4 linked regions of the Rattus norvegicus genome follow. Each later gene encodes a partner of the first gene's protein in a complex. Links are inferred from orthologs where the notes say so. Each region holds a gene or a part of one and is shown in the gene's direction. Other genes may lie near its edges.

What was found.
Region 2: Aar2 (region 1) and Prpf8 share a complex: the UniProt entries of both Homo sapiens proteins name them as parts of the U5 snRNP complex. The link is inferred for Rattus norvegicus from reciprocal best matches to the Homo sapiens genes AAR2 and PRPF8.
Region 3: Aar2 (region 1) and Cd2bp2 share a complex: the UniProt entries of both Homo sapiens proteins name them as parts of the U5 snRNP complex. The link is inferred for Rattus norvegicus from reciprocal best matches to the Homo sapiens genes AAR2 and CD2BP2.
Region 4: Aar2 (region 1) and Snrnp40 share a complex: the UniProt entries of both Homo sapiens proteins name them as parts of the U5 snRNP complex. The link is inferred for Rattus norvegicus from reciprocal best matches to the Homo sapiens genes AAR2 and SNRNP40.

What each region holds. Positions count from the first base shown.
Region 1 is NC_086021.1:165,514,539-165,522,037, forward strand, and holds the start of Aar2 (protein AAR2 homolog), read left to right. Parts: upstream 1-2,985; 5' UTR 2,986-3,320; exon of another isoform or gene 3,321-3,426; coding exon of another isoform or gene 3,427-3,489; intron 3,490-6,644; coding exon of another isoform or gene 6,645-6,689; coding exon 6,690-7,446; intron 7,447-7,499. UniProt on the Homo sapiens protein: Component of the U5 snRNP complex that is required for spliceosome assembly and for pre-mRNA splicing.
Region 2 is NC_086028.1:60,845,166-60,852,019, forward strand, and holds part of Prpf8 (pre-mRNA-processing-splicing factor 8), read left to right. Parts: intron 1-32; coding exon 33-162; intron 163-261; coding exon 262-408; intron 409-638; coding exon 639-799; intron 800-1,452; coding exon 1,453-1,644; intron 1,645-2,041; coding exon 2,042-2,279; intron 2,280-2,409; coding exon 2,410-2,538; intron 2,539-3,830; coding exon 3,831-3,944; intron 3,945-4,017; coding exon 4,018-4,191; intron 4,192-4,435; coding exon 4,436-4,629; intron 4,630-5,692; coding exon 5,693-5,932; intron 5,933-6,030; coding exon 6,031-6,172; intron 6,173-6,543; coding exon 6,544-6,684; intron 6,685-6,794; coding exon 6,795-6,854. UniProt on the Homo sapiens protein: Plays a role in pre-mRNA splicing as core component of precatalytic, catalytic and postcatalytic spliceosomal complexes, both of the predominant U2-type spliceosome and the minor U12-type spliceosome.
Region 3 is NC_086019.1:191,238,730-191,246,500, reverse strand, and holds Cd2bp2 (CD2 antigen cytoplasmic tail-binding protein 2), read left to right. Parts: upstream 1-2,609; 5' UTR 2,610-2,621; exon of another isoform or gene 2,622-2,635; intron 2,636-2,668; exon of another isoform or gene 2,669-2,707; intron 2,708-3,101; exon of another isoform or gene 3,102-3,107; 5' UTR 3,108-3,130; coding exon 3,131-3,208; intron 3,209-3,409; exon of another isoform or gene 3,410-3,411; coding exon 3,412-3,544; intron 3,545-3,666; coding exon 3,667-3,824; intron 3,825-3,929; coding exon 3,930-4,365; intron 4,366-4,439; coding exon 4,440-4,546; coding exon of another isoform or gene 4,547-4,621; coding exon 4,622-4,732; 3' UTR 4,733-6,602; downstream 6,603-7,771. UniProt on the Homo sapiens protein: Involved in pre-mRNA splicing as component of the U5 snRNP complex that is involved in spliceosome assembly.
Region 4 is NC_086023.1:147,981,642-147,989,390, forward strand, and holds the start of Snrnp40 (U5 small nuclear ribonucleoprotein 40 kDa protein), read left to right. Parts: upstream 1-3,148; 5' UTR 3,149-3,187; coding exon 3,188-3,331; intron 3,332-6,019; coding exon 6,020-6,149; intron 6,150-7,749. UniProt on the Homo sapiens protein: Required for pre-mRNA splicing as component of the activated spliceosome. Component of the U5 small nuclear ribonucleoprotein (snRNP) complex and the U4/U6-U5 tri-snRNP complex, building blocks of the spliceosome.

The sequences.
Region 1 (7,499 bases):
ACACAGCACATGCACATACAACACACACACACACACACACACACACACATACACACACACACACACACACACCGGCAGAGCTTGACACTGAAAGAAAGTAATGAATGAAGACTGAAATTAAAACCATAATCTCTGTAAAATCTAAACTCCTTTCTTAGGACATCTGAGGTATACACTATACAGTTTCTACTTTATTCTGTCAAGAAAATCACCCCAGGTCCCCTTTCTATATTGCTCCAAAACAAGTCTTCCCCTCCCACCCCCATATATTTATTTTCATAAACGTCATCTTGCACATACCATCCTAAGTACTTTCTAAAACTTACATTCTGAACATTTTCCTATCATTTTAGATACTCAATATTAACTGCTTTTCTCTGTAAAGCCAGCTCATTCAATGATACAAAAGCCACACAATGCAAGAATCCCAGTCTTCTCCAGAGTCCTATTTTTTTTAAAGGTTTATTTATTTTATGTATGCAAGTACACCATCACTCTCTTCAGAGACCAGAAGAGAGAGTCAGATCCCATTACAGATGGTTGTGAGCCACCATATGGTTGCTGGGAATTGAACTCAGGACCTCTGGAAGGGCAGTCAGTGCTCTTAACCACTGAGCCATCTCTCCAGCCCCCAGAGTCCTATTTTTTTGTGCAAGGCAATTGCTGTAGGGGGCTTTGAGAATGGTTTCCAGAATTTTCCTTGTAAGTTCCACTTAATGATCAATTACTTTTAGGATCCTGGAATGGATTACAAACACTGGGACTACACACCTCCTGGACCTGTAGCACCGTCTTTCTGCTTCTGGGAAGTAGTTCATCCAGCTCAGTGGTTTCTCGGCTTGCATTGGAAAGGGTAGCGAAGCAGTCTCTAGAAAGATCTTTGTGTCACAGTTGACCAGTGTTCTAGAGATGCGAGCCTATGTTTGCAGCAAAACTTCTAATCCACAGAACAGCTGTCTGCCACCATGAATTACCTGACCTCACATACCAACGGCACCAAAGTAGAGAAATCGTGCTTTGGGTGAACATGGTTCACAAAGTTGGATGTCCAGGCCAGCACCTATATATCCTGAAACTTCCATGTCCAATGTTAAATGTCCTGGACCTCTAAGCAGATGGGGAAGCCATGTGAAGCCACCTGGAAGCTGTTGACCACACATACCAGAGTTCAGCTCCTAAGACAGGAGCTGGGGAGGGAAGGTGAGCAGCTTCCCAAAGGAAATGGAACTGACCATAGAGGCTGAGATTGCCGGTCTGACTTGCCTCTGGCTAACCTTGGGGCAGCCCACTGTGATTAACCATGATTGCCCCATCTAGCCTATTCTGCAATCCCCCTACGAGATGACTTGAGAAGCTATGAGTGGGGCAGATTGACAAGTTCATCTATCACTGAGGAAGTCTGACACAGAAGCAGCAGCACAGGGGCCAGAACTCCAGCTGGTTTTATCAAGTTTTTTTGTTTTTGTTTTTGTTTTTGTTTGTTTGTTTGGTTGTTTTTTTTTTTTTTGCATCTGATCCCTGTACTCTCTGAGTCTGTAGTCCCTCTGTGAAGCTCAGTTTTCTCTTCTGTGAATTGAGAATACTAATTGCCAAGTTTTCATCCCTATACTGGGTCACTGTCTCAGAATTTTAGCACCAGTAAAAAGTGTGGACACATCTATTGGCAAGGGAGACTTGGTCTTGGTAAGGGACAGAAATGGGAAATAAACTCAGATCAAACCCTTGACCAACTGAAGGTTAGAGATATGCAGGTATGGTGAAAAAAAAATGAGACCAGTAAAGGGGGCGGAGGGACTCATCCTTTCTAGGGATGGCAAGGATTTGGATACAGCTTTTATGGTTTCTCGCCATTGACAACTGTCATGGTGCTGGAGGTAGGCATCTTAAGAGGCTCGATAATGGGGGCTGGAGAGATGGCTCAGTGGTTAAGAGCACCGACTGCTCTTCCTGAGGTCCTGAGTTCAAATCCCAGCAACCACATGGTGGCTCACAACCATCTGTAATGAGATCTGATGCCCTCTTCTGGTGTGTCTGAAGGCAGCTACAGTGTACTCATACAATAAAATAAAATCTTAAAAAATAAATTTATAAAAAAAAAAAAAAAAAGAGGCTCGATAATGAAGATGGAGGTCGTCCTCTGTTCTGTCAGTCATTGTAGATACAGCCAGTCTTGGTAAAGTCACCTGAAGAAGAGATTGATTGAAGGCCTTTGAAAATCCGGTCTTTACAGATAAACAAGCTTATAATCAGGTAGGTAGAGTTGGAAATACAAGATTAGAGGAGGGTCCCACATTGGCTAGGATTAGTGAAAAGATTAGAAGTAGTGTCTATATATCCCCCAGTGGCTCTGGTTCTTGGTGAATTCTGATGCACAGAACCACCCAGCACAAGGCTAGGCCCACAAATAGTCATTTATTATACCACATTATTTGCTTTGTTATTAAATGCACAGTACATCGATGAGGGCTATGTGCTAGGTTCTAAGGAAATCGAGAGGAAAAAGACAGGCAGGATTCCTCACTCAGTGCGCGATTTAGAGCTTGACTGTTGTATTCCGTAAGGCCTAGAAAACACTGGGTGGTCACTGCTGGAGGAACTGCTGTGGTGGCTGTTGAAAGAACTGCTTCTCTCTTTAGGCAACAGCCTTGGTTCTGAAACTAGGGAGACTTGGAGGTAATAGGGAACTTCTGACATGGTGACTGGCATAGTAAATGTGGCTGAAGTGTGACAAACCACGACTGTGTGCCAACACCTGGACCATGCTTTGGCTAGTCCGTGTCTGCTTGAGACCAAAGGACTGCAGCTGGTTGAGTATGTTTCTGGACGGGGATATAAAGTGTATAGTTTAATTAAAATCGTTATTCACAATTCGGGAAGTTAAATGAACCAGTAAGAAGAAAATGGCAGTGCTTTATCGTGAGGAACCTGGAAGCACGGGCCATTTCTTCTGAGACCGGGGACTCCGCCGGACTACTTTTTCTGTAGCACCTATCCGGCTCCAAAGCAGCCGAACTTCCGTCCAGTTTCCGCGGAGCCCGAACGTGAGGTAATACGGTGAGTGTCAGCTCTTGGTGCTCCTTTCGTCCTTTGGTTTCGTTAAATGTGATCGGGTCACCTCGTTTCTTGTCTCAGAATCGCGCCGGCGGAGTCTGAATTTGTGATCTGGTGTCTCGGGAGGCCTTTATTTCTGAAAACCCATCTCCAGGGACACCATGGTCAGGCTCTCTGGGGCTCACGAAGTAACTTTTCCCCCCTTTTAACTGTAGATCTTGGGAACCAGAGATCGTATACTCACTGGAGCTGGTTCTGCGTGGCTTCCTGTAAGTCACCCACCTGGCTTCCTGGCTTTATTTAAATGTATATTGTAGTAAGTAAGTTTTAAGCTTCGTGCATACGCTAGGGACCTAGGACTCGAGTTCTGGAGGCATGACAGTCTTCAATCAAGTACACAAAGTTACACACCAGTCACTGGAATTGAAAGGCTTCAAGGTATCCAGAGTATAATCACGGAACTTTTGACTTAGTCCTGGGTCGAGGAGGCTTTACAAGATTAGAAAAAAAAAAAAAGTTTGACAAAATGCTGTGGGTAGAGTTTTCTCTGGTTTGAGGGTCAGAAAGAAGCCAGTGTGGTTGGAACAGTCGTCGGATTGGGGTGGTATTAAGTAAGCTGAAGAATTGCCAAAAGTAATTCTTGTAGCATTTTCGGGCCATAGTAAGAATTTTATGTTCCCTAAAGCCAGATAGAGAAGGCATTGAGGACCAAGGACTCTTGCTCTTGGGAGTTGGTGAATAGGCTGAGGAGGTGTCTTTCTGTATTGCAGGGTTGTGAAGAATGCATCCCATTTGTATGTTCCAGACTTTTTTTGACTGAACTACAGGCACAAGACTTTTATGCAGTGACCACGCATAGAGGCACAGGCCTTCATGGAACCAGTCCTATCCTTGTTCCTTGTGGCATTTTGATGGCTTAAAACTTCTCTTCTCAGTGCTGGAGAGATGACTTGGTGGTTAAGTGACTTGCCTGCTCTTCCAGAGAATTTGGACTCAGTTCCTACCACCTTTATGGTGCTAAAACTACCTCTAACTCCAGTTTCAGGGAATTCAGCATCCTCTTCTGCTTTCTGTATAACTTTTTCCATTATTTCAGATTAGCTTTATGTCTAAAAATGATTTCTTAACTCAAGTTATGTCTTGCAGTTTGAAAAAGAGTGCTGATTTAGAGACCTTTCTTCTGTTTGTTTGTTTTTAAGGTAAAGACAATAAAGTGTACGCCTAATATTTTTTTAAAGATTTATTGTATTTATGAGTACACTGAAGCTATCTTCAGACACACTAGAAGAGGGCATCCAGCCCATATTTTTTGTAAAAGGATTTTTGTTTGTTTGTTTGTTTGTTTTAAATAAAAGAATAGGGGCTGGAGAGATGGCTCAGTGGTTAAGAGCACTGACTGCTTTTCCAGAGGTCCTGAGTTCAAATCCCAGCAACCACATGGTGGCTCACAACCATCTGTAATGAGATTTGATGTCCTCTTCTGGTGTGTCTGAAGACTGCTACAGTGTATTTATAATAATTAAATAAATCTTTTTTAGGGCTGGAGAGATGGCTCAGCGGTTAAGAGCACCCGACTGCTCTTCCAGAGGTCATGAGTTCAATTCCCAGCAACCACATGGTGGCTCACAACCATCTGTAAAGAGATCCGATGCCCTCTTCTGGTGTGTCTGAAGACAGCTACAGTGTACTTATATATAATAAATAAATAAATCTTTAAAAAAAAAAAATAAATCTTTTTTAAAAATTAAAAAAACAACAGCAAGACACACTTGATTTTCCTGATTGTTAATTTTGAGGCCACCTCTGTAAAACACAAACATCTGTTTTTCAGTGGTCTTATTCTGTGAATATTTCTTTTTTTTTTTCTTTTTTTTTTTTTTTTTGGTTCTTTTTTTCGGAGCTGGGGACCGAACCCAGGGCCTTGCGCTTCCTAGGCAAGCGCTCTACCACTGAGCTAAATCCCCAGCCCCGAATATTTCTTTTAGGGCCCAGTAACAATCCCGCACAGTGCCTGTAATCTGAGTGTGTGTCTGTTGGACTGGTGAGTGACTTCCTACTCAATTTAGTAAAAGTCGGAATAGTTGATTGGCTTAAATTGGTTCATGCTGAAAACATTCTTACAAATACTGCAGAGACAGCGTCTGCTACACAATTGTGTTTTACATTGTGTGCATGTGAGTGAATGATGGGGTGGTGGGTCATATGCTGGGGCAAGCATGTGAAGGTTAGACAACTTTGTGGGTTCTCTTTTCTCCTTCTACTTTATAGTATCTGGCCATCGAAGTGAGGTTGTCAGGCTTAAAAGGCAAATGCCCTTACTCACTGAGTATTTGCCAGCAACCCCTGATGCCTTTGTTTTTAACCAAAGGGTCTTTATAAGGAATTTAAATGTGGATAAAATAAAGAATCTAAGCCTCTCCTCAAATATTGTAGACCTGCCATGTCAGTCTTCTCTGGATGAATTGTGGCTCTGTGGGAAACTGTTTGATCCCTGGACTTTAGGTGGTTTTGTTTTGTGATTACTTGCTTGTTTTTAAGACAGTGTCTTGTGTACATATCGCAGTCTGGCTTCCAATTCACTGTGTAGCTGAGAATGACTTTAACGTCTGATCCTCCTGCCTCTGCCTCTCTCACAGATGTGTGTGTGTGTGTGTGTGTGTGCGCGCGCGTGTGCAAGGATCCTTTGTGTGCAATGGACAATCACTGTACTCAGTTAACTGTCTTCCCACCAGCTGCTTGTTTTCATTGTTTGATTTTTTTTTTTTTTCCGGAGCTGAGGACCGAACCCAGGGCCTTGCGCTTGCTAGACAAGCGCTCTACCACTAAGCTAAATCCCCAACCCTTCATTGTTTGATTTTTGAGACAGTCTCTAGCAATCAAGGGTGATCTTGAACTCCCGATTTCTCTGCCTCGGTCCAGCAAGGGTTGGGAATACAGGTGTGTACCACTGCACCCTGCCATGTTGTCTTTAAACTAGGAAACCAGCCCTTTCTTCTCCCTCATTTTCAACGAGGTTGTTGATGAGTGAAAGAAGGGAGTTTGAAAAGCTCTCCTCCACACCTCAGACTTTTTGTTAACTTTAGATGCTCATGGGAAATTAGGTAGCCAGTTTGATTTGGTCGTCTTTGACAGATCTTATGGTATTCTCCAGTAGCAGGTTTTAGGTAGAATTGTAGCTTAAGATGACTTTTGCATTGTTCTAGTTTAAAATGAGCCATTTGAACCTTTTCCACCTTCCCCTGCTGTTGAGAGAAAGACATCTGATGGGCAGTAGACACAAGCCTGCAGTACCAGCGGGCAGGTTTGCATTTGGTACTGTATGGCCACCTGTCTTTAAGGGATGCCCCTGGCGTGGTGGAATGAAGACTATTGCTCCTTAAATCACACCCCCAAATCTCTTCGATCCTGATTTTCCTCATCTGTTAGACAGATGCAGGGTTGTCATGGGGATTAAAGGGAGTTAATTTCTGTCAGGATCTAACTCAATATTTGATATAGAGAATGTGCAAGTAATAAAATAGCCTTTCCCCATATTCTGGTCAACTCATATTCATTCACTCTCTCCCACCCCCTGCCTCTCTCTGCTGTTCTAGGAGACAAAAAAAGAGTCCTGCTTTTGGTTACCCTCCACTGGCCTCATGGCTTCCATGCAGATGGATCCTGAGTTAGCCAAGCAACTCTTCTTTGAAGGAGCCACTGTGGTCATTCTGAACATGCCCAAGGGGACAGAGTTTGGCATTGACTACAACTCCTGGGAGGTGGGGCCCAAGTTCCGGGGTGTGAAGATGATCCCCCCTGGTGTCCACTTCCTTTACTACAGCTCTGTGGACAAGGCCAATCCCAGGGAGGTGGGCCCTCGGATGGGCTTCTTTCTTAGCCTGAAGCAGCGGGAGTTGACAGTCCTGCGCTGGAATGCAGTTCAGGAAGAGGTAGACCTGTCTCCAGCTCCAGAGGCTGAAGTAGAAGCCATGAGAGCCAATCTCCCAGAGCTGGACCAGTTTCTGGGACCTTACCCATATGGTACACTCAAGAAGTGGATCTCACTCACCAACTTCATCAGTGAGGCCACCATGGAGAAGCTGCAGCCTGAGAGCCGGCAGATCTGCGCCTTCTCAGATGTGCTTCCCGTGCTTTCCATGAGGTACACCAAGGACAGGGTGGAACAGAACCTACCGCTCTGTGGCACCGAGTGCAGAAGCTACCAAGAGGGCTTGGCCCGGCTGCCTGAGATGAAGCCCAGGGCGGGGACAGAGATCCGCTTCTCAGAGCTGCCCACTCAGATGTTCCCAGCAGGTGCCACACCAGCAGAGATCACCAGGCACAGCATGGACTTGAGCTATGCCCTCGAGACTGTGCTCAGCAAGCAGTTCCCTGGCAACCCCCAGGATGTCCTTGGTAAGAAGGAGCTAGGCTTTGGGGGAGGATGCTAGTGGGGGTGCTTAGAATAG
Region 2 (6,854 bases), on another chromosome or scaffold:
GCAGCATCTCATTTAATTCCTCTGTTCATCAGGGAGAAAGCCAGCGGGTTTGAGGAATCCATGAAGTGGAAGAAGCTGACCAATGCTCAGCGATCAGGATTAAACCAGATTCCTAATCGTAGATTTACTCTCTGGTGGTCCCCAACAATCAATCGAGCCAATGTGAGTATGATTCTTCCACAAGGGAGATGGGGAAAGGGGTTTCTTACGCCTTTATCTTTGTCCTAAGAGCTGGTCTCTGGTCTCTCTCTTTCCTGGCAGGTATACGTAGGCTTCCAGGTGCAGCTGGACCTGACAGGAATCTTTATGCATGGCAAGATCCCCACGCTGAAGATCTCTCTCATCCAGATCTTCCGAGCTCACTTGTGGCAAAAGATTCATGAGAGCATCGTGATGGACTTGTGTCAGGTGAGCTGCCGCTGAGGGGTGACATCACACAGTCACATCCGTCTGTGTGGCCTTGGCCTGGAGATCCTTAGGCTGGCTACCTAACCTGCTTCCCAAGGGCTTAGATTATGCACTGCCACGCATAGCCAGCTTGGGAAAATTTATCCTGGACAGGCAAGGATTAGACTCTGTTGCCTCATCTAAATTCTCTCAGCTCTCAGTGTATGTGGATTTCTCATCTTTACTTCTAGGTCTTCGACCAGGAATTAGATGCCCTGGAAATTGAGACAGTACAAAAGGAGACAATCCATCCCCGAAAATCCTACAAGATGAACTCTTCCTGTGCAGATATACTGCTCTTTGCTTCCTATAAGTGGAATGTCTCCCGGCCCTCGCTGCTGGCAGACTCTAAGTAAGTAACTTTTTTTTTTTTTTTTTTTTTTCGGAGCTGGGGACCGAACCCAGGGCCTTGCGCTTCCTAGGCAAGCGCTCTACCACTGAGCTAAATCCCCAACTCCGATAAGCATGTAACTTAAAAGAGTTAGCCCTGCCTCTTTTGTTTTGTTATTCTGGCTTTAACCTTATAATACTATTGCCTCAGCCCCTCCAAATGCTCGCTGTACAAAAGTGGGCACCATTCCCAGCTTTTGGTTGACATTCTTTTAAACTTGGAGGCAGTGCTAGCCCTTGTAACCCATCAGCAGTCAGACCTACCCGTTTCCTGGGGGGGGGGGGGGGGTCTTGCTGATTTGTTTGTTTGTTTGTTTGTGGTTTGTTTTGTTGTTTTTTTCTGTTTGAGACACAGTTTCTCCATGTAGCCTGCCCGTCCTGGAACTTGGCCTGTAGACCAGGCTGGCCTTGAATTCAGAGATCCATCCACCTGACTCTGCCTTACAAGTGCTGGGGTTAAAGCCAAGCACCATTACTGAACGGCTAGGGGTCTTGCTGATCTACAATGAGGAGGGATGATTTTGAGATTTAGGTGCAGTTGGGAGTTCTCATGAGTCTGAGATGGTGGTTATGCTGTGGTTTCCTGAAAACCTGAACTTTTTCCCCTACCCTTAGGGATGTGATGGACAGCACCACCACACAGAAGTATTGGATTGACATCCAGTTACGCTGGGGGGACTATGATTCCCATGATATTGAGCGCTATGCCCGGGCCAAGTTCCTGGATTACACCACAGACAACATGAGTATCTACCCTTCACCCACAGGTGTGCTCATTGCCATTGATCTGGCCTATAATCTACACAGGTGAGTTAGGGCTCAGAAGCATCGGTTTGCCATTAGCCCTGCACTTTCTGTATTCGTTTCATTTATTTAAGTGGGATCTCATTATATAGCCTTAGCTGTCCTAGAACTATGTAGACCAGGCTGGCACCAAGCTCACAGAGATCCTCCCTCTTCAACTTCCCGAGTGCTGGTGCTAAAGGTGTGTGCCACCACGCCCTCCCTGCACATTAGTCTTTACACCAGTTTTAGTTTGTTTGGCTAAGATGAGGTTTTTTCTTCTGGGTCACTGACTGACTCTTCTCTATGTACATGTGTTAGCAGATTTTTGCATAAGCCTGGCCAACTTTCTTTGTCCCTTTGTTGTACTTGGAGCTTTCGGCCTGTGCTTAAGTTCTTGTGATTCCCTTCATCCTCACAGTGCCTATGGAAACTGGTTCCCGGGGAGCAAGCCTCTCATACAGCAAGCCATGGCCAAGATCATGAAGGCAAACCCTGCCTTGTATGTGTTACGTGAACGGATACGCAAAGGATTGCAGCTGTATTCATCTGAGCCCACTGAGCCTTACCTGTCCTCTCAGAACTATGGTGAACTCTTCTCGAACCAGATTATCTGGTTTGTGGATGACACCAATGTCTATAGAGTAACTATCCACAAGGTGAGCCTTGGATGCAGTGTGGGCACGCAGGCTTCAAGTGCCTATGAGAGAGTAAGACAAGCATGTACACACATTGGGTAAAGTCGGGGTGATTATGTAGGCCATGCTAACCAATATAACTGTTCTTTAGACCTTTGAGGGGAACTTGACAACCAAACCCATCAATGGGGCCATCTTCATCTTCAATCCACGCACAGGACAGCTGTTCCTCAAGATAATCCACACATCCGTATGGGCTGGACAGAAGCGTTTGGGTCAGGTACGCAGTTTAAATGATAGTGAAGCCACAGAACCTTGCTGTCTCTCATTCTTGGTAGGGGGCAAAGGAACATGATAAAAATACCTATTTCTCTATTGAGAGAAAGTATTGCTGGGTGTGGTAGCAAATATCTCAGTACTCAAGAAGCAGAGGGAAGAGGATTGCCATAGGTTTAAGGCCAGCCATGGCTGCACACAGTCAGAAAAGAGGTGGCGATAGTGTTGTGTGATTTACTCCCTGAAGTACTTGAGCTGAATGCAGAGCTTGTCAGCTTGCTTTGCTTTGGGAGTTAGAATTACAAGTGGCACTCTTCCCCCTCAACTGCCCCATCTGTGGCTGACATAAATGGGTGCTGGGAATCCACACTCTGGCCACAGCACTTGACTCAGTGACTCCGCTCCTCAGCCTCCCAGGGAAGTGTTCCCAGGGAGGAGGTCCAGCATGTGAAGGCCTTCATTACCTCTGAGCTGGGCTTTCTACATCCTAAGCCTCTCACTTCTGTTCTCTGTCTTAAAAGAGCAACTAAACATCATCTTTATAAAGAGAATGCACACTCTGTGGCTTCCTAGACATTTGCTACCTGACTGGGCTGTACCTACCCAGCCACATGTCTCATCTCTGTATCTGTAGTAAGTATAGTGTAATGATTACAAGTCCCCTTGTAATTTCCCCAAGTCCCAGCGCTCATCTCACTTCCAAGGCTTTGTCCGTATTTCTGTCTCTAGAAGAGCTCTCATTTTCACTGTGCTCACCGTAGTTCTAGCCAGGAAGACTCATTTCTATATGCAGCTTTTAGTTGTCTTAACTTTTATTTAGATTATTTTTTAAATTCTGTTATTAGTCTGGGCATGGTGGTACATGCCTTTTAATCCTACCAGTTGGAATGCAAAGGTAGGTTTATCTTTGCAAGTTTGAAGCTAGCCCCTTCTGCATACTGAGTTCTAAGCCAGCCAGGACTGCAGAGTGAGATCATGTCTCTAAAAACTAAATAGTATTTTATTTTAGCTGTATGTGGGGAGGGCATCAGCTCCGGGGCTACAGCTACAGGCAGTTGTAATCCGCCTGGTGTGGATGTGGGAACCACATCCTCACATCATCCATAAGAGCAAGCTTAACCTGAGAGCCAGTTTCAAACTGTAATTCATCACTAAACATGTAGGCATCTTTTTCTGATTACTAAGTTTGGCACTCATGTTTGTCATTATAGAAACGGTCTATTTCAAGATTTTTTTTTTTTTCTAGATAATTGAGGAAGGTCAACTCAGTTTGTTTTGGATTTTTTCTTCTATTAGTTGGCCAAGTGGAAGACTGCTGAAGAAGTGGCTGCCCTGATCCGATCTCTGCCTGTGGAGGAACAGCCTAAACAGATTATTGTCACTCGGAAAGGGATGCTGGATCCCCTGGAGGTGAGAGGTGGACACAGTAGAAGGTAGACTCAGGCCCTCTGGGCTGTGTCTCTGACTTTGGGCTTTGCTTTAGGTACACTTACTGGACTTCCCCAATATTGTGATCAAAGGATCAGAGCTCCAGCTGCCCTTCCAGGCTTGTCTCAAGGTGGAGAAGTTTGGGGATCTCATCCTTAAAGCCACAGAACCACAGATGGTTCTCTTCAACCTCTATGATGACTGGCTCAAGACTATCTCATCCTACACGGTAATTTGACACCTTAGGAAGGTCTCTCTAGTCAGGAGAAGTTACTGTGTGCCTCAGGGGTCTCCAGAAGTCACTTGATGAGATCGTTTTTAAATTCTTGACCTGTGTATACAAAGAGCAAGAACTCTTGCTGGGAGGTTGGCACCATAAGAAATTGAGGACAGCACTGGCTTCCCCCTGAGGATAGGGTACAGGAGGGGACTGTCACCAAGCTGACAGTCATACTTTGCACATGTTTCCCCAGGCTTTCTCCCGTCTCATCCTGATCCTGCGTGCTTTGCATGTGAACAACGATAGGGCAAAAGTGATCCTGAAGCCAGACAAGACAACCGTTACGGAACCCCACCACATCTGGCCCACGCTCACTGACGAGGAGTGGATCAAGGTGGAGGTGCAGCTCAAGGATCTGATCTTGGCTGACTATGGCAAGAAAAACAAGTGAGTAGGGCAGGTGTCATAGTGCAGCCAGGGCAAGGTTCTGGAGTTTGGAAACATTTAGGCTTACAAGTGTCTCAGATATTTTACCTGTGCTTGGTAATGTGTGCCTGTCATCCCAGAACTTGGTAGGTAGAGGCAAGAGGTTCAGGAATTCAAAGTTATCTTTAACTACATGAGTTAGAGGTTAATCTAGGCTACATAAGGTCGTGTCTCAAAAGAAAAATAACATCTTGGATACTTAGAAAGAAATGCAGTTCTCAGTGAAGGCACTGATACCATTTTGAAAAGATTCACTCTCTTTTTTGTTTCTGCTGTCTGCGTTTCTCTTGTTTTTTTTTTTTTCTTGTTTTTTTTTTTTTCCGGAGCTGGGGACTGAACCCAGGGCCTTGCGCTTCCTAGGTAAGCGCTCTACCACTGAGCTAAATCCCCAGCCCCTCTCTTGTTTTTAAGACAGGGTTTCATTCTGTATCCCAGGCTGGCCTTAAGCTCCCAACAACCTTCTTGCCTTAACCTTGTAACTGTTAGATTATCAGTATGTTTCACTCCATCCGATTTGAGAGTTTCCAGTTTCCATTTTTGAGAGTTGTCCTGTGTAGGGCAATTTTTGTGGGGGAAAGTAAGAGTAGAGGTGTGAAGCAGCAGGAGGACGTGTGAAGCAGCAGGAGGACGTGTGAAGCAGCGGGAGGACGGACGTGTGTGTTGTTGTCCTGCTGCTTGGATGCATGGAGTTGACGGTGCCGCAGCCTCTTCCTTTCATGCTTTTCTCAGAAGTGCCAGTTAAAGGATGGTTCAGGGATAAAGGTGCTTGCTACCCAGAACCTAAGTTCAATCCCTAAAACCCACAAGGTAGAGAGAAACCTTCTATAAGTTGTCTTTTGACCTCTACTCTTGCACTGTGATATGTCCCCCTCCTCCAGAGTAAATGCATTTAAAAGTTAAAAAGAAAAGAAATGTTACTTGAGGATTATCTTGGCCGAGTATACCCTGTTACCCAAGTCTACTCTACCATCAAGACAAAAGTGACTAGTAGGAGGGGCCTGTTTAACTCTCAGTGTCCCCACAGTGTGAATGTGGCATCGCTGACACAATCAGAAATTCGAGACATCATCCTGGGAATGGAGATCTCTGCACCATCGCAGCAGCGGCAGCAGATAGCTGAGATTGAGAAGCAGACCAAGGAACAGTCCCAGCTCACTGCTACACAGACTCGAACTGTCAACAAGCATGGCGATGAGATCATCACCTCCACCACTAGCAACTATGAGACCCAGACCTTCTCGTCGAAGACCGAATGGAGAGTCAGGTGCTGTGGAGGGCAGGAAGGTGGCGGGGTGCACAGGCCTGTGGATGTTGCTGGGTATGCTTGTGCTGCGGTGCTGACATGCCTTGTCTGTCCTTTAGGGCCATCTCTGCTGCCAACCTGCATCTACGGACCAATCACATTTATGTTTCATCTGATGACATCAAGGAGACTGGTTATACGTACATTCTTCCCAAAAATGTGCTGAAGAAGTTCATCTGCATATCTGATCTGCGCGCCCAAGTGAGTAACCATGGCCCACACCTGGACCACAGTGTGAGCCCACTTAGTCTGTGCCTGAAATTCACTTGATAGTCCAAAAACTTTGAGGTGCTGACTTCAGAATTCATGGATGAATGAATAACTTGAAAAAGACAGCACAAGCAAGAGGTATCAAAACATTTCATAAAGCCAGGGCCATTAAGAGGAAATATTACTGGGGTAGAATTTATTGCAGAGAGTAACAAATGTATTCAGACATGTATATAGTTGACATGGGGTTGGGATTTAGCTCAGTGGTAGAGCACTTGCCTAGTAAGCGCAAGGCCCTGGGTTCAGTTCTCGGCTCCGAAAAAAAAAAAAAAAAAAAGAATAATTTCTGATCTTATTTCTAGATTGCAGGATACCTATATGGGGTGAGCCCTCCAGATAACCCTCAGGTGAAGGAGATCCGCTGTATTGTGATGGTGCCACAGTGGGGCACTCACCAGACTGTGCACCTGCCTAGTCAGCTGCCTCAACATGAGTACCTCAAGGTTTGTGCTGTGGTGGAGCCTGGGAATTGCACTTACTGTCATGTTACCCTAATGGATGACATTTGTTTGCAGATAAGTTGAACATCTCTTTAATTACTCTTTGCCTACAGGAGATGGAACCCTTAGGTTGGATCCACACTCAACCCAATGAATCCCCCCAGCTATCGCCC
Region 3 (7,771 bases), on another chromosome or scaffold:
GTCACGCCTATGAAGTTCTTCTGGGGTGCTGTCTTAATTTGCCTTTGGTCACCACAGTGACTCTTGGCAATGGCAGTTAGCAGATTCTTACACTCCAGTGGCTTCCCTTAGATGGTGGAGCTAGGTTCCTTTTCCTGTCTTGGGGCCCTGCCTGTCATCCCACTGTTTTCTGGGGGCCAAGGCTGTTTTCTCTCCTGGATATCCTTGTGTTGTAATTATGTACAGAAGGTCAGATTGGCCTGGGGTGGGTGCTCTGTCCTTTCCCCATTCCACAGTGCGTCTACGCTCCAGTTTATTTAAGAGGATATGTTAGGAAGTGTCCTCCGTTTCCTTCCCACCCATGTCCTGCTCTTTCCTAGCCCACTTGCTCTGTATGTTCAGGCCTCTCTGCTGAGAGTCAGAAAGCCTATCTTTCATTTTGTTCCCTTCCAGCCATCAAGCCCCTCTCTGAATAAGGGTCTTCCCTTGAGTCCAGGGGGTGGAACCCAATGTTTACATTCTCTTCTGTCTTGGTCCCACCCCAGTGGCAGTTTCGTGGCGCTTTGAGGAACCGGAAAAAGAACCTGCTGTTCTATCTGGATCTGTCTCCTGCCTTGTTATTTGAAGAGTGCTATAGAGTAAGGGGGAAGGAGCCAGGAAGAAAGTCTGACTCTCCATAGGTTCAGTCTGCTGATCTTGGCAGGAACATCTAGACCACTGGTTCTCAACCTTCTTTTTTTTTTTTTTTGTTCTTTTTTTTCGGAGCTGGGGACCGAACCCAGGGCCTTGCGCTTCCTAGGTAAGCGCTCTACCACTGAGCTAAATCCCCAGCCCCTCTCAACCTTCTTAATGCTGTGACCCTTTAATACAGTTCTTCACATTGTGGTGACTCCAACCATAAAACTATTTTCATTATTACTTAATAACAGTTTACTACTGCTGTGAATCATAATATAAGTTTCTGTGTTTTCTGATAGTCTTAGGCAACCCCTGTGAATAGTATTCGACCCCCAAAATGAGTCACAGTAAACCCTTGCTCCATCTCTCATCAACAATCAGTGGTCCAGCTCCTCCTCAGCTTTGCCTGGGATCTGCTGCCTCCACTGTCACTGGCCTCCTGGGACCCTCTGCACAGCTTACAGCCTCGGCCCCCTGGAAGCTGAAGGAGGGGCTTCGAGTGCAAGACCACCATCTTTAGATTGGGCTGGGTTCTTGGTCAGCAGCATGGTGCAGCTCCTGGTACTGGGCTTCTAGGGTGGACAGACTGCTTTTGGTTCATCCCAGCAGGTGCACACAACCAAATTGTCCAGCTCTTGTTTTCTGTGGCAAGCTTTTTGCCCTCCAGTCTGGGTCAGGATGATAAAGTCTTCTGATAAAGCTTTTGTGGCCATAAAGCAAGAGTTCCACTTGGCAGATCTTCTTCAGGATGAGGATCAGGGTGTGGTCTCCAGGTAGAAGAGAAAATTCCTTCCAGATGAACCAGTAGTGCTGAGAGCTGGTGTTTTTTCAGGGTCCTGTCTATAGCAAGATGCTCTCTTGGTGTAGGACTTGTGTTTCTTTTACCTACAGAAGAAACTAAGATCACACCTTCAATGAAGTTTCACAGTGATTCAGAATGGGAGAAAACCCTGGAGGAGAAAGGTGGTGTCCGTTTGGCCACCCTCTTCCAGCTCTAGTAGGATCACCTGAGCTATCTAGCCTGAGGGTGGGGGTGGGGCAGAGGTGTTCAGGTTTTGAGTTTTTTCCCAGAGCTCCAGATCTAAACCTCACTATTAAGTTAGATCTCACTGGTCCCACCTTTGCAGGAGCTGAATTTCAGCACCTTGACAGTTTGCTAAGGGGTCGGGGTAGGCTTCATCTTGTAACTAATTCAAGAGCTTTTTTGGGACCTACACCTGAGAGCAGGGCACCATGGGCTTCTGCCTAATTACTCAGCACCAATGCCAGCGCCACCTCCTGCGACGGCTGTCCCACTACAGAAACTAGGAACTAAGTGGGGGAATAGACATGGTGCAAATGACTTCCTGGGTTCTAAAAGGATTTGGTTTGGAAAGTGCCCGAGTGCTTACAACCAGAAGCAGGACTCAGGGAGAAAAAGATTTAAAAAAAAATAAATGGTCTCATGTTGTATCGCAGACTGGCATCAATCTCGCGACAATCCTGTTTCAATTTCCTGAGTGTTGGGATTGCGTTAAACTCGGAAACCCGAGTTTCTACTGAATGCCATTAGGCGTACATAATCCTATCCATAAATGCAAACTGAAACCCAAGGCCCCTGTTCGGTCTGTGTCCCTCCAACCGGGCCTTGGGAACCTCTTTTAGCAAACAGAACGCCACGTCTTCACCGTCTCCTCCATTGCAGAGGAATAATAAAACATTTCCCGCCATCTTCAAATCCCGTGAGGCAAGTACGGAGTTCACGCGAGTCTTTGCAGGTCTTACGTTACTTCCTGCGGAGAGTCGGCCTTGGCTAAAGGGATACATCCGCCCGTTCTGCCAGTCTTTTGGATAGAAGTGAAGCCACTTCCGGGTCCTATGGCAGTCTTCACAGTCTTTTTCCGGGTGATGGAGGCGGATGCCCCGGATGTAATACCGGCGAAAGCATCTTTCCTTTTCTTTCCCGTCTGACCCTGGATTCCTAGGTGAGCGTCAGCGGGTAAGATTGTTTGAATCCCTGCGGCTTTGCCTCGCTTCTAGCTTCTACGCCGAGTTGGACATGGCCGAGCAGGTCGCTATGTGGAATTCGGGTTCCGAGGCTACTAAGGCGCCAGCTCTTGCGTCCGACCGGCCTCTGAGGGCACTCGGGTGGGAGAGGTGGTTGAGCTCTGTAGCTTCGGACTGGTAGGGAAGTGATGACGTGGGGGGAACCTGCTCCCTACCCTCCCACACACCTAGGTGGGAGTACCCACAGGGTCCACGCGGGGGCGGAGATCCTTCACATGTTCTCCCTTTTGGGCCCCTGCATTGCCAAATCAATTCCGGACGTCGTACCTGCTAGTTCTTTCAGATGGTTTAGTGATCGGTCCTCTCTCAAATTTACCAGGAAAAATCTTTGTGGAGCCTGTACACTCTCGCGGCCCTCTCTTGTTACTTAATTTCCTCACTTCCTATCTTTTCCCGAGGTCCAGCTGGAGGAAATCTATTGCCAATCATGCCAAAGAGGAAAGTGACTTTTCAGGGTGTTGGAGATGAGGATGATGAAGATGAAATCAGTGTTCCCAAAAAGAAGGTGAGATGGCCAGATCTCTAAGTTCTATGGAGGCCTAAGGGGAAAGGAGAGGGAGCAGTCCAACGGGAGAAAAGCTGGAAGCCAAGGAAGGGTTAGTTTTTCCCAGTCACTGGGTTTGGAAGGATTCGAGTTTATGTACAGATCCTGGAATATTCGAGGAACTAGCCAGTCTTCCTTTCTCATTTACTTCGTCCTACTCATAGCTGGTGGACCCTGTGGCTGGAGCAGGTGGTCCTGGGAGCCGCTTCAAAGGCAAACACTCTTTAGACAGTGATGAAGAGGATGATGACGAGGGGTCCAGCAAATACGATATCCTGGCCTCAGAGGATGTCGAAGGTGAGCTATTTCCAAAGCATTAACTGTGTTGGAGGGACAGGTTTTAAGTAGGGAGGTGGGAGGTGTACTGCCTGTTTCTTTTTTGCATGTCTAGCATGGGGCCCCCCATGTCTTTGGTGCAGGTCAGGAAGCAGCTACTCTCCCTAGTGAGGGGGGTGTGAGGATCACACCCTTCAACCTGCAGGAGGAGATGGAGGAAGGCCACTTTGATGCAGATGGCAACTATTTCCTGAACCAGGATTCGCAGATCCGAGACAGCTGGCTGGACAACATTGACTGGGTGTGGCCCAGGATCTGTCCTGGCTGAGCTCAGCCTGGGAATGCTGGTGCTGGGCCTGGGTCCTGGTGGAGTTTGTAAGAAACGATAACTATCTTTCACTTATAGGTGAGGATCAAGGAACGGCCACCTGATAAGCAGCAGGTTTCGGACTCAGAGGAGGAAGGCAGCCTGGGTCAGACTCCAATGAGTGTCCAAGCCCTCCTGGAGGGACTTCTGGAGTTGTTACTGCCAAGAGAGACAGTGGCTGGGGCACTTAGGCGTCTGGGGGCCCGAGGAGGAGGCAAAGGGAACAGCAAGGGGACTGGACGGCCCAATTCTCCCCAGCGTCTAGACCGGCTATCTGGGTTGGCTGATCAAATGGTGGCTCGAGGCAACCTTGGTGTATACCAGGAAACAAGGGAGCGTTTGGCTATGCGACTGAAGGGTTTGGGGTGTCGGACCCAGGGATCCCATGACCCCACACCTCCACCCTCCCTGGACATGTTTGCTGAGGAAGTAACAGAGGGGGAACTGGAAACTCCAACCCCTACCCATAGAGAAGGTAAGAAGGGCACAAGAGGGGCAGTGTGGGCAGGAGACCGGGTGCTTGAGGCCCAAGTTTCTTCATTGTTTTAGAAGCAGATTCAGCTGGAGATGGTCTGATGGATGTGATGTGGGAGTATAAATGGGAGAACACGGGGGATGCTGAGCTGTACGGACCCTTTACCAGTGCCCAGATGCAGGTAAGCCCCTTCCCGCCCTGGCTGTCCACCCCAGCTTCTGTCATCTTGCCTCAGTTTTGTCCTCTGTTCTTACAGACCTGGGTGAGCGAAGGTTACTTCCCGGATGGTGTTTATTGCCGGAAGCTGGACCCTCCAGGCGGTCAGTTCTACAATTCCAAGCGCATTGATTTTGATCTCTACACATGAGCCCGCTAAGGGCCCCGTTTGGCAGCCCCTTCTTTCTTGAACTTGGCAGAGGAGGTCCCAACTGCCCTGGGCAGTGAGGATATTGGAGGCCACTCTAAAGCCAGTGTCTCTTTGTCAATAAAAGCCTTGAGTATGCATCAGGGCCTTGACTGGGCTAATGGCCAAAAGCCAAGGCTTCTCCATAGCTCCTTTTGGCTTCACCTGGTGGGTCCTTGAGTTTCCTCCCAAGAGACTTCCTCTCATGCTTCTCTGGTGTCTTGGACCACCTCCGTTTTGTTTCCCACCTTGGAGGCAGAGGGAGGGCCCATCAGGTGTCCTGTGTAAAATTCCCTCTATCACTCTGTTCTCTGTCATGCTGATCTTGGCTTTTAGGACCTCACATTCTCTGCCCTGGCAGCTCCTTTGTAGCTGGGACATTAGGAAGACTTTGAAATCCTATTGGGAGATCCTCTTAAACATGGATTCTCCCCTTCTCCCTAGTCTGGTTTTACTACCCCTCACCCTCCTGCAGTAGTTTCCATAGCTCTTAGGTGAAGTATGAACTTGGTAGCACTTCAAGGTTACTTGGGCCACCATGTGATACAGCGAGGGGCAAAGGGCAGGGACTTACTGGAGACCTCACAGTAAACTAGAGAGGTGGCCCATTCACCTATTCCCTGACCTTTCTTGGCATAAGCTTTTCTTGCTTAGCCTTTCAAGCATTGTCTACATTTCCTGGGCTCCCACGTCTTGGGCGTGGGGCTAGTGCCTTGAGGAAACCTCTGGTCTGGTCCCCATGCAGGAATCCAGAGTGTGAGAGGCAGACAGGGACCTGACAGTTCTCACCCCACCAGTGCTGCTTTCTGCTCACCTTGTCTGTACAGGAGGCCCCAAGAGCTGCAGGCTAGTGGGTCCAGGCTAAGGACTTGGGAAGTGGGGTTCAGCTCAGGCTTGGCTGCAGATGTTAGATGCAGAGACTTCTGACCTGTCTAACAATTAGACCTGTTACTGCCAGTGTAGGGACAGATGGTTTCTTTGACTTCAAGAAGCCCATTAGTGGAAAGACATCTGACTTGGTATGTTACTAAGACAGCGATAACCCTGTAGTTATTTGTAAGGTATTACTGGTTAAAGAGGAACCAGCTTTCTGAGATACTTAGCAGTGAAAACCTGGTGTCTTGGGATGAGTAACATCCAGTCATGTTGCCTGACTGATTGTTCACAAGTGTTTGGTGAGAGAGACACCGAGGTGCCCTCCAGGTTCCTCAGACTTAGCTGATCTAAAGCTGATCTCTTCCTCATGCTCTCTGAGGCACTTCCTGATAATACCCAGGAAGGGCAGAACATCCCTGAAGATACACACATCTGAGCCCCAGACTGGGTGAATATTACTTATGTTTTATGTGGCAGAGGGAAAGTGTAGGAAAGGGATTATGTAGAAGTGACGTTGAGGTTTGGTTTGGTTTTGGTTGTTTTTTGTTTTGTTTTGTTTTGTTTTTTAATTTTTTGAGGTGGGGTCTCACTGTGTAGCCCTGGCTGGCCTGAAACTCACAAGAGATCTGCCTCCCCAAGTGTTGAGACTAAAGGTGTGTGCCATGATGCTGAGCAAAATTGAGAAATTTTGAGACTGGGAGATTACCTTTGATTATTGGGACCATTGTGATCTCGGGGTTCTTACGCTGGAAAAGGAACTGACTCCTAACAAGATCAGAGAACTGAAAGCTGGAAGAGAGGAGTATGTGTCAGGGTGCCGGTGGCCTGGAGAGCCGGGAAGGCAGAAGGCAGGTCCTTCCCAGCCAAGTGTAGCCCCACACTGATAACCCAGTGAAACCCACTTTGGACTTGTACCCTCTCGAATTGTATGATAATAAATTTGTGTCGAGCTGCTTAAGTTGTGGTGATTTAACAAAGCACTGGAAGAAAGTGAATATACACCCACCCACTCTGGAGAGCCACGGCCACTTTAGAACCAACCCCTCTTAGGACTTCACCAGAGTTTTTGTTGTCTTCGCAGCCAAGTGCTAACCTGGCCCAATCCTGCTTAGGTTTCAAAATTGGGTATATTGTGGGTGGTACAACCAATGGACTTCCTAAATACAAAGCCAGTAATTGGATGGGTTTTTGTTGTTTTGAGACAGGGTTTCTTAGACCCTGACTGTCCTGGAATTGATTATGTAGACCAGGCTGGTCTTGAACTTAGAGAGATCCATCTGCCTCTGCCTCTGCCTCTGCCTCTGCCTCTGCCTCTGCCTCCCAAAGGCTGGGCAAACTGCCTTCCTCTCCACTCCCTCTCCAGGAACAGAACTACAATGTCATTTCTTAAAAGGGCTCAGCCTTGATTCTCGGCGCTTACACATGGGCGGCTCACAGTCGCCCATAATTCCAAGGGAGTCTCCTACCTTCCAGCTTCAGGCACTGGGCATCCAGATGATTGAGACAATAGAAAGGCAAAGCTCCTACACACATGTAAAGATAGTTCTTAATTAAAAGAAATGAGTTTCACTTTAGCTGACAAATCCTTATTCTCCAGCCCTGGTGACCACTGCTGATATCCTGTGACTGGGTGTTTTGGATAAGTGGAAACCATACAGTGTGATTTCTTCTGTCTGCCTTCGTACACCTAACAGTGTCTTTAAGGTTTATGGCTTAACATGTCACTATTTTCTTTTTTAAAGATAGGGTCTCTGTGTAGCCCAGACTAGCCTAGATAGAACTTACTGTCTAGACCAGTCAAGTCTTGGATTTAGCGATCTGCCCACTTCTGCCTGTGGAGTTTAGGGATCAAAGGCATGCGTCACCACCACAGACAGCCCAAATACCTTGTTCTTTGTTGTTGCTTAACTCCGTTCATTTCCGTTCCCCAGCACCTCATATCCAGCCTTACCTCCCACTCACCCAAAGTTGAGTGTTTTTTCCACATTGAGGCCACTCACTTGTCCAGCTACTGCTCTTGGGAGTGCAGCGGGACCCAGGGGTTTGCAGCTGCTGAACAAGCACTCTTAACAAGGACTATCCCAGTCCAACTTTTGATTTTGCTTTGTGTGTGTTTGTGGTAGGGGA
Region 4 (7,749 bases), on another chromosome or scaffold:
CACAGGACAGAGGCTGATCTGCCCATTCTAGAGAAATGACTGAATGCCCCTCTCCTACTTCCCAGCTAAGCACTTTCACCTCCAGACTTTCCCTCCTTCTGCCCAGCATCCCTTGCCTCACATCACAGAACGGGTGTTATTAATTGGAACTTCGTGAGTCTATTAAGAGGCCTTTACTAGTCGCTACCACATTTAAAAAGTTAATTAGCCAAGTATAGAATCTATAATAGCACTGGGACACTCAAAATGAGGGCAGACATCCTAGTTCCTCTCCACACACATTAGTCATGGAAAGAGCAATACGCTTAAGTGGTTCCTTGCCGAATTAGGCTGTGAGAGAATGAGAAAGACTGGAGAGAGCACTGCTCTTCCAGTGGAGCCAAGTTCTGTTCCCAGCACCCACGTGGTGGCTCACAACAGTATGTAACTCCACTCCCAGGGGATCTGATGCCTTCCTCTGGCCTCCTCTGGCACCAGGCTTATACATGGTGCACATACATACATTCAGGAAAAGCATTTATGCACATAAAATAATGATTCTAAAAAAATCTAAATAAAATTAGGAAGAGCTATATCTTAAGACACCCCCCCCCCCATCAAATCTCTCTCTTGAGACAGATTCTCTGTATGTAGCTCTGGCTGTCCTGACTCTCTATGTAGAACAGACTAGTCTTGAACTCACAGATATCCACCTGCCTTTGCTTCCTGAGTGCTGGGATTAAAGGCATGTACCACTCACTCTACCCTGCCTAAAGCTTTTTTTGTTTGCTCCTCCCACAGAACAGAAGCCTTAACCAGTTTTTAAACTTTTATTTGATGGGAAAGGTCTTCTTGCAGTGCTAAGAACTGAACCCAGAAGTCCCAGCCCCAGCCCCTGGCTTTGTGAGCTAGAATCTCACTACGCAAGGGCTAGAAAGAGATGTCTCATTAGTTGAGAGTACTTGTCATTCTTTGTGGTGGTTTGTATATTCTTGTCCCTGTGAGTGACACTATTAGGAGGTGTGGCCTTGCTGGGATAGGTGTGGCCTTGCTGGAGGAAGTGTGTCACTGTGGGGGTGGGCTTCGACACTGCTATTCAATCTTCTAGAAGATGAAGGTATAGAACTCTCAGCTCCTCCTGCACCAATGGATTAAACCTCTAAGCCTGTAAGGCAGCCCCGACTAAATGTTGTCCTTATAAGAGTTTCCTTGGTCATAGTGTCTGTTCACAGTAATAAAACCCTAGTGAAGACACAATTGCAAAGGACTTGGGGTTAGAGTTTCTAGCACCTCCATGGAAGTTCACATGCTAGCATTAGGCATTCATGAGGAACAAATATATACATGCACTTGGGAGGCAGAAATAGGTAGATCTCTGAGTTCAAGGCCAGCCTGGTCTACATAGTGAGTTCCAGGACAGCCAGAAGTACATATTTAGACCCTGTTTTGGGCGGTGGGGGGAGGGGGATGAAACAAGGTGTCATGCTAGCAGCCTGGTGTGAGTTGAAAGATCCCAATGTTGCCCAGCCTAGCCTTGGTTTTGTAGCAATCCTCCAGTCTCTCGGCCTCCAATGTTGGGACTAAGCACATAATCCTCTCTTAGGCATCATCCAATCCATCATCACCAAATCCTATCCAATTTACTTCCCTGCTATCCCAAGAAACTGTTAAACCTGTCTTCAGTCCCACCTCACCTTGATTCTCACTGACATTGCTGATCAGAACTACTGTTCATGCTCCCAAAATGGTCTATTTGTTCCCAGTAAACCTCCCCTTATCTCTCCAGTTTCATCACACCATTAAGTCTGAGGGATCAAGCCATCTTCTGCACCACATTCTGGAGAAGAGAGAAAACTTTGACTGGCTTCCTATTGATTTTAAAGTAAAAGCTTCAACTTCCTGCAAATCTTCATGACCTCCGGGTTCATCCCATACCATAGTCACTTCAATCACTCTCTCTCAGCACACCCGCTCAGACCCACTGTGTCTCAGTCATCTTCCCAACTGATAGGGCATTGCACATGCTGTTCTGTGCAGAACGTTCTCCCTTTCTCTCGTCCCATAATTAGAACTGTCCCATCAGATAGGAACAGCTCAGCCATCTTTTCTTTTGAAAAGCCTTCAAGCTTCTATTAGTAACTCATAGCATGAGGCATCGCTCGTTCAGGTAGTCTTCCGATCAACTGGTGAGATTTGCTTAACACGTTTCCCACACCCTGAGGTAGGGGACCATGTTTCTTCAGAATGACCTCCAACGCACTGCATCATAAATACCATTTGGACCACTTTCTTTTTTTTTTTTGGGGGGGGGGGTTCTTTTTTTCGGAACTGGGGACCGAATCCAGGGCCTTGCGCTTCCTAGGCAAGCGCTCTACCACTGAGCTAAATCCCCAACCCCATGGACCACTTTCGAGAAGGCCTGGTACGTAAGCACGACTATTTGACTTCTCAATAAAGTTGTGCTTTGGGGAGCCATCTGATACTTTCCTTATCGCTGGCTGTCTCGGGGACATAAATAAGTCCTTAGAAAAGACGGCTAAAGCAGTGACAAAACTAAGTCCGCCGCCTCAGCCAAGCCAGGCACTGAAGCCTGGAGGCCGGGAGTCGGGCCTGGGAAGGCCAGCACAGAGTGGGATCCAGAATCGGCATCCTGCAGAGCAGCTGTCAATGAATAGCGGCCTGAGAGTTCGAGTCCTGCATCCAGAGATCCCAAAGCTCTGCTCCAGCCTACCAAAGGACTTCTCTTTCCGGGGACTCTTTCCGAGGACATCCCCTGCCACACCCCGCTGCCAAAGCTGGTAGCTGAAAATGGTAGGCTCAGGCCTGACTCGTAACTTCCAAATTGTAACAACCACCCGCCTGATTCCCCACACACTCACTCCGCGTCCGCTCCTAACAGGACAGCCGCTTCATCCCTAGGAACACTGAATCTGCTCCGCTCGTTCTCACCCACAATGCACGGCGCGCCTGAGGGGGCGGAGGAGAACGTCAGTTCTGCGACCCAATCCAGAGTGGAGTTCTCGTGACGTCATCAAGAAGAGACCAATCGCAAGAGTGTATTCAGAGGGCGTTGCAGAAGGAAATGTTAGAAATCGATTGGTTGCTCTCTTCCGGAAGTTCTGGAGGAAGAACTCAGTTGAAACCAATTGCGCAACGCCTGCTGCAGGCGGCGCGGTTACTGGCGGCGCCGAGGGTAGTGGTTGCCGCCATGATCGAGCAGCAGAAACGCAAGGGCCCAGAGCTACCCCTGGTTCCCGTCAAGCGGCCGCGACATGAGTTGCTGTTGGGAGCCGCAGGATCCGGCCCCGGAGCCGGGCAACAGCAGGCGACTCCGGGGGCATTGCTGCAGACGGTAAGTGAGGAGGCATCCCCCCTTCGGCCCCCAACCCCTCTTCCTACGGATGGTATCAGCTCTGCAGGAACGGAAAAGCAGTGAGCCTGAAGTTAAAATAGGCCTCTGTAAAGGTGCCTTGTGTTCTGTGTGTGCTCCATACGTGTTTCCCTGTTAGACGCCTGTTTTTAGCCCTTCCGGGGCATTGAATCATTTAAAACTTTGGCCTCAAAGTCAAGACCCAAGCTTCCGCATCCTAAATCTTCAGGGATTTAGCATAAAAGAAACATTCAGGAAAGTTGGCAGAGTGAACGAATGAATGAATGAGAGGAGAAGCAATGCAAATGAATGATAGTGGCTCGCTTTGCTACCTGGTACAGCTTTTTCTTTCTCTGCATTTATAATAGTAATTAACATTAGTTGGTTCTTGGATGTTTTGCGTGTGAAATTTCCGTTAATCTTGATAACAGCCTGGAAGCAGCTGTTATTTTGCAAAATGGGGAAAGCAAGCTTTTTTGAATCAGAACCCATGCTTTTAACTACATGTCTTGTAAAATAGTAATCACACCCGCCACACGTTCAGATGAGGAAATAGGTGTACTCCTGCCCCAACTCTTTAACCAAATCCTTTTGCGGTGGTCTTTAAAATATACAAATAAAGTGAGCAAGGCGTGTGGGACTGTAGTTCCAGCTTTCCAGAAGACCGACAAGAAAATTTTAAGGGAAGGAATTGGAAGCCAACCTGTACAACATAGAAAGACACTCCCACCCCACCCCCCAAAAAAGCTGGATACACACATTTATAATCATCACTTGAGAAACTGGGGCTGGAAGATCCAGGACTTCAAGCATCTAAGCTATTATTATGGCAAAATCCTGTTGAAAGGAAAGAGAACTGTGTAACCTTGATCCTTGCCTTCTAAAAAAAAAAAGGAAATTCTCTGTAATAATTCCCCTCTTTACCTTGTTCATCTACTAGTTTTCTGGCATGTCACTTGGCTCCAGACACACACACACACACACACACACACACACACACATATATGTTCTTACTTTTTCTGTGGTGCATTGGCTGGGATGTTCTTGTAAATGCCCACATGGTCAACTATTGACTCTTTCAAATCTTTGCTCAGATACTAGCTTTTCAGTGGGGCTCTTCTGACAACTGTATTTTAGGTTGAAGTGTCCTGCACTCTGGAACCCATATTGTTTCTTCCCATGGCACACAACAGGGGGTGTTTTACTTGGGTTTGCTTGTCTGCCTTTCTCACACTTTGTACTAGAATGCAAGGTCTATTGTTTTACCAAGTGCTGTCTTCTCCAGCGCCTAGATATGTTAGGTGTGTGTGCGCTGGGGTTGGGGCTCAGAGGCCAGAAAAGAATGTTGGATTCTGGACTGGAGAGATGGCTCAGCGGTTAAGAGAACCCAACTGCTCTTCCAGAGGTCCTGAGTTCAATTCCCAGCAACCACATGGTGGCCCACAACCATCTGTAAAGAGAACCGATACCCTCTTCTGGTGTATCTGAAGACAGCTACAGTGTACTTATATATAATAAATGAATAAGTAAATCTTAAAAAAAAAAAAAAAAAAAAGAATGTTGGATTCTCAGAACCTGGTGTTACAGCTCTTGAAAGTTGCCCATTGAAGATGCTGAGAACTGAATGTGGGTCCTTTAGGAGAGCATCTCTGAGCCATCTCTCTAGCCAACAGGTAACATTTTTGTGACTAAATATACTGGATGAGTATGACCATGGGACATTATCTGCATTTATGGATATTTCGTAATAAAACCCATTACTTGGTGTAGTTAGTACATGATAATAAAAATAAGTAAGTATACTGGGATCTACTAAAGAGACTTCAGGATTATTGGTAATACACTGGTTCTTATTTGACAAGGTTGCCTAGGTTTAGTGTGCAAGACCACACAATCAAATCTACTTTGCTAAGCCTGACACAGTGATACACACTTGTCATACCAGCACTTAGGAGGACTGAAAATTTTTAAGACCAGCCTGGGCTACATATTAAGACCCCCGCTCGGGGTTGGGGATTTAGCTCAGCGGTAGAGCGCTTGCCTAGCGAGCACAAGGCCCTGGGTTCGGTCCCCAGCTCCAAAAAAAAAGAAAAAAGAAAAAAAAAAAGACCCCCCCCACCCCGCTCATGCCCCAAAATCTATTTTGCATAATAAACTGTACCCCACTGGGTTTTTCAAAGGCTAACTGGATGGACTAGAGACAGAAAAATGGAGAACGACCAGAGCTTCATTTCTTTGGGGAAAAAGAAAGGTATGAGCAATGATGTAAGAGAAGGAAGTTCAGGTAGTGATGGGGCTTTGACAGAGTGCCCTGGACCCAGTGGAATAAGGGGTAGGGGGGCTGCCTCACTCAAAATAGTGTGAGTGATGAAAGACAGACTCTGGGGAGGCAATACTTAACAGACACAAAATAAGGTGAGTGCTTCTATAGAAGACATCTTTCTCTGTTAAGACCCTGAGGCATAAAGGAGTTCAATGTGACCAAGCAGTCAAAAGTTGGCTGTGGAACAAAAACAGCCTTAGGAAGGAGAGAGCACATAGGGCATACGCTGGACTGTCCACGGGATTATCCAGAGGCAGGAGGAGTTCTGTGAGCAGAGGTGCTGTGCCCTGAGCAGATGAGATGCACTGCCCCCAGCGTTCCATTCCTCACACTTGTCTTTGGTTTAGGGACCGCCAAGGTGTTCGTCCCTTCAAGCCCCCATCATGCTGCTCTCAGGACACGAAGGGGAAGTGTATTGCTGCAAGTTTCACCCCAATGGATCTACCCTGGCTTCTGCAGGATTTGACCGACTCATACGTAAGGCACAGTGTTTGAACTGGAGTTACTAACTGCTCTCTGCTAATATGATCTCTTTCATTTTGAGTGCCATCCATAGGAGGCATCAGACATCAGTCTAATTTGGCATCTGTCTAATTTGGGAGGTTAAGCCAGCTACAGTTAGCTAAAGCTGCGTGGTAAAATGCTGAGCACACGTTCTGGTACAACCTCGGGTGCATGTGGTAAATAAGAAGAAGGAACCGTTGTGCTAATTGGAAAGTGGGTTGCTTTGGTTGGAGTTAAATAATCTTCTTGGCTCTCTTTCTCCTCTCCCCATCTCCTTCCCCCTCCCCTCTTCCATTCTCCTACTGTCCTACTGGCTCATGTCGCCAGACTGACCTTAAACTGGCTATGTAGTGAGAATGACTTTGGAATGTCTAATCCTCCTGCCACTGCCTCCCAAGTGTTAGAATTACAGGCTCGTGCTACCAAGAGCAGCTGAATTTTTTCTTCCCCTGGAGACAACTCTTGAACTGATTTAGTAAGAGCATCAGTTTGGCTTTAATGGTTACTGAGCATTAAGAAGAAAGAGAGAACTGTTCTACTTGTAAAAACATGGGGCCTTAATCCATACCTAGGACCCTCATATATGAGGGAGAAAGATCAGAATCTTCAGGAGGAACTAACTTAAATCATTTGCTACCTGATTCTCAACCCTCATTAAGAATACCCATACTTTAAAAAATAAGTACAGGGGTTGGGGATTTAGCTCAGTGGTAGAGCGCTTACCTAGGAAGCACAAGGCCCTGGGTTCGGTCCCCAGCTCCGAAAAAAAAGAACCAAAAAAAAAAAAAAAAAATAAGTACAGTTTGAATGGGTGGCTCAGCAGTTGCTAGCTGGACGTGCTAACACCTTTAATCTCAGGATTCTGGAGGCAAAGGTTGGTTGGTCTCTGAGTTCAAGGCCAGTCTGATCTAGAGAGGGAGTTCCAGAACAGCCGGGGCTATACAGAAAAACCCCTGTCTCAAAAAAAAAAAAAAAAAAAAAACAGAAAAAAACAAAAGCAAACAATGGGCTGGAGAGATGGCTCAGCGGTTATGAGCTCTGGCTGCTGACCTGAGTTCAATTCCCAGCACCCACATGGCAGCTCACAACCATCTGTAACTCCTCCAGGGGATCCGACTCCCTCACACAGGCTTATGTGTAGTCAAATCACCAGTGTACATAAAATAAAAGAACAACAACAAAAAAGACCACTTGCTGCTCTTCCAAAGGACCTGAGTTCAGTTCCCAGCACCTGACATCACAACTATCTATAATACAGTTCCAGGGAATCCAATGCTCTCCTCTGACCTGAGGGTATGTGAGAGTGTGAAAACACACACACACACACACACATATACACACACACACACAGCTTTAAAGAATCAATAGAACTAAAGAGAAGGTGGTTCATAGGTACTATAGCTTAATGTTCCTCTGTTCAGACTCTAGATTCAAAGCATATAAGTAAAGGTACCAACTTTTTTTTTCATGTATAGGAGTACACTGTAGATGTCCTCAGACACACCAGAAGAGGGCATCAGATCCCATTACAGATGGTTGTGAGCCACCATGTGGTTGCTGGGAACTGAACTCA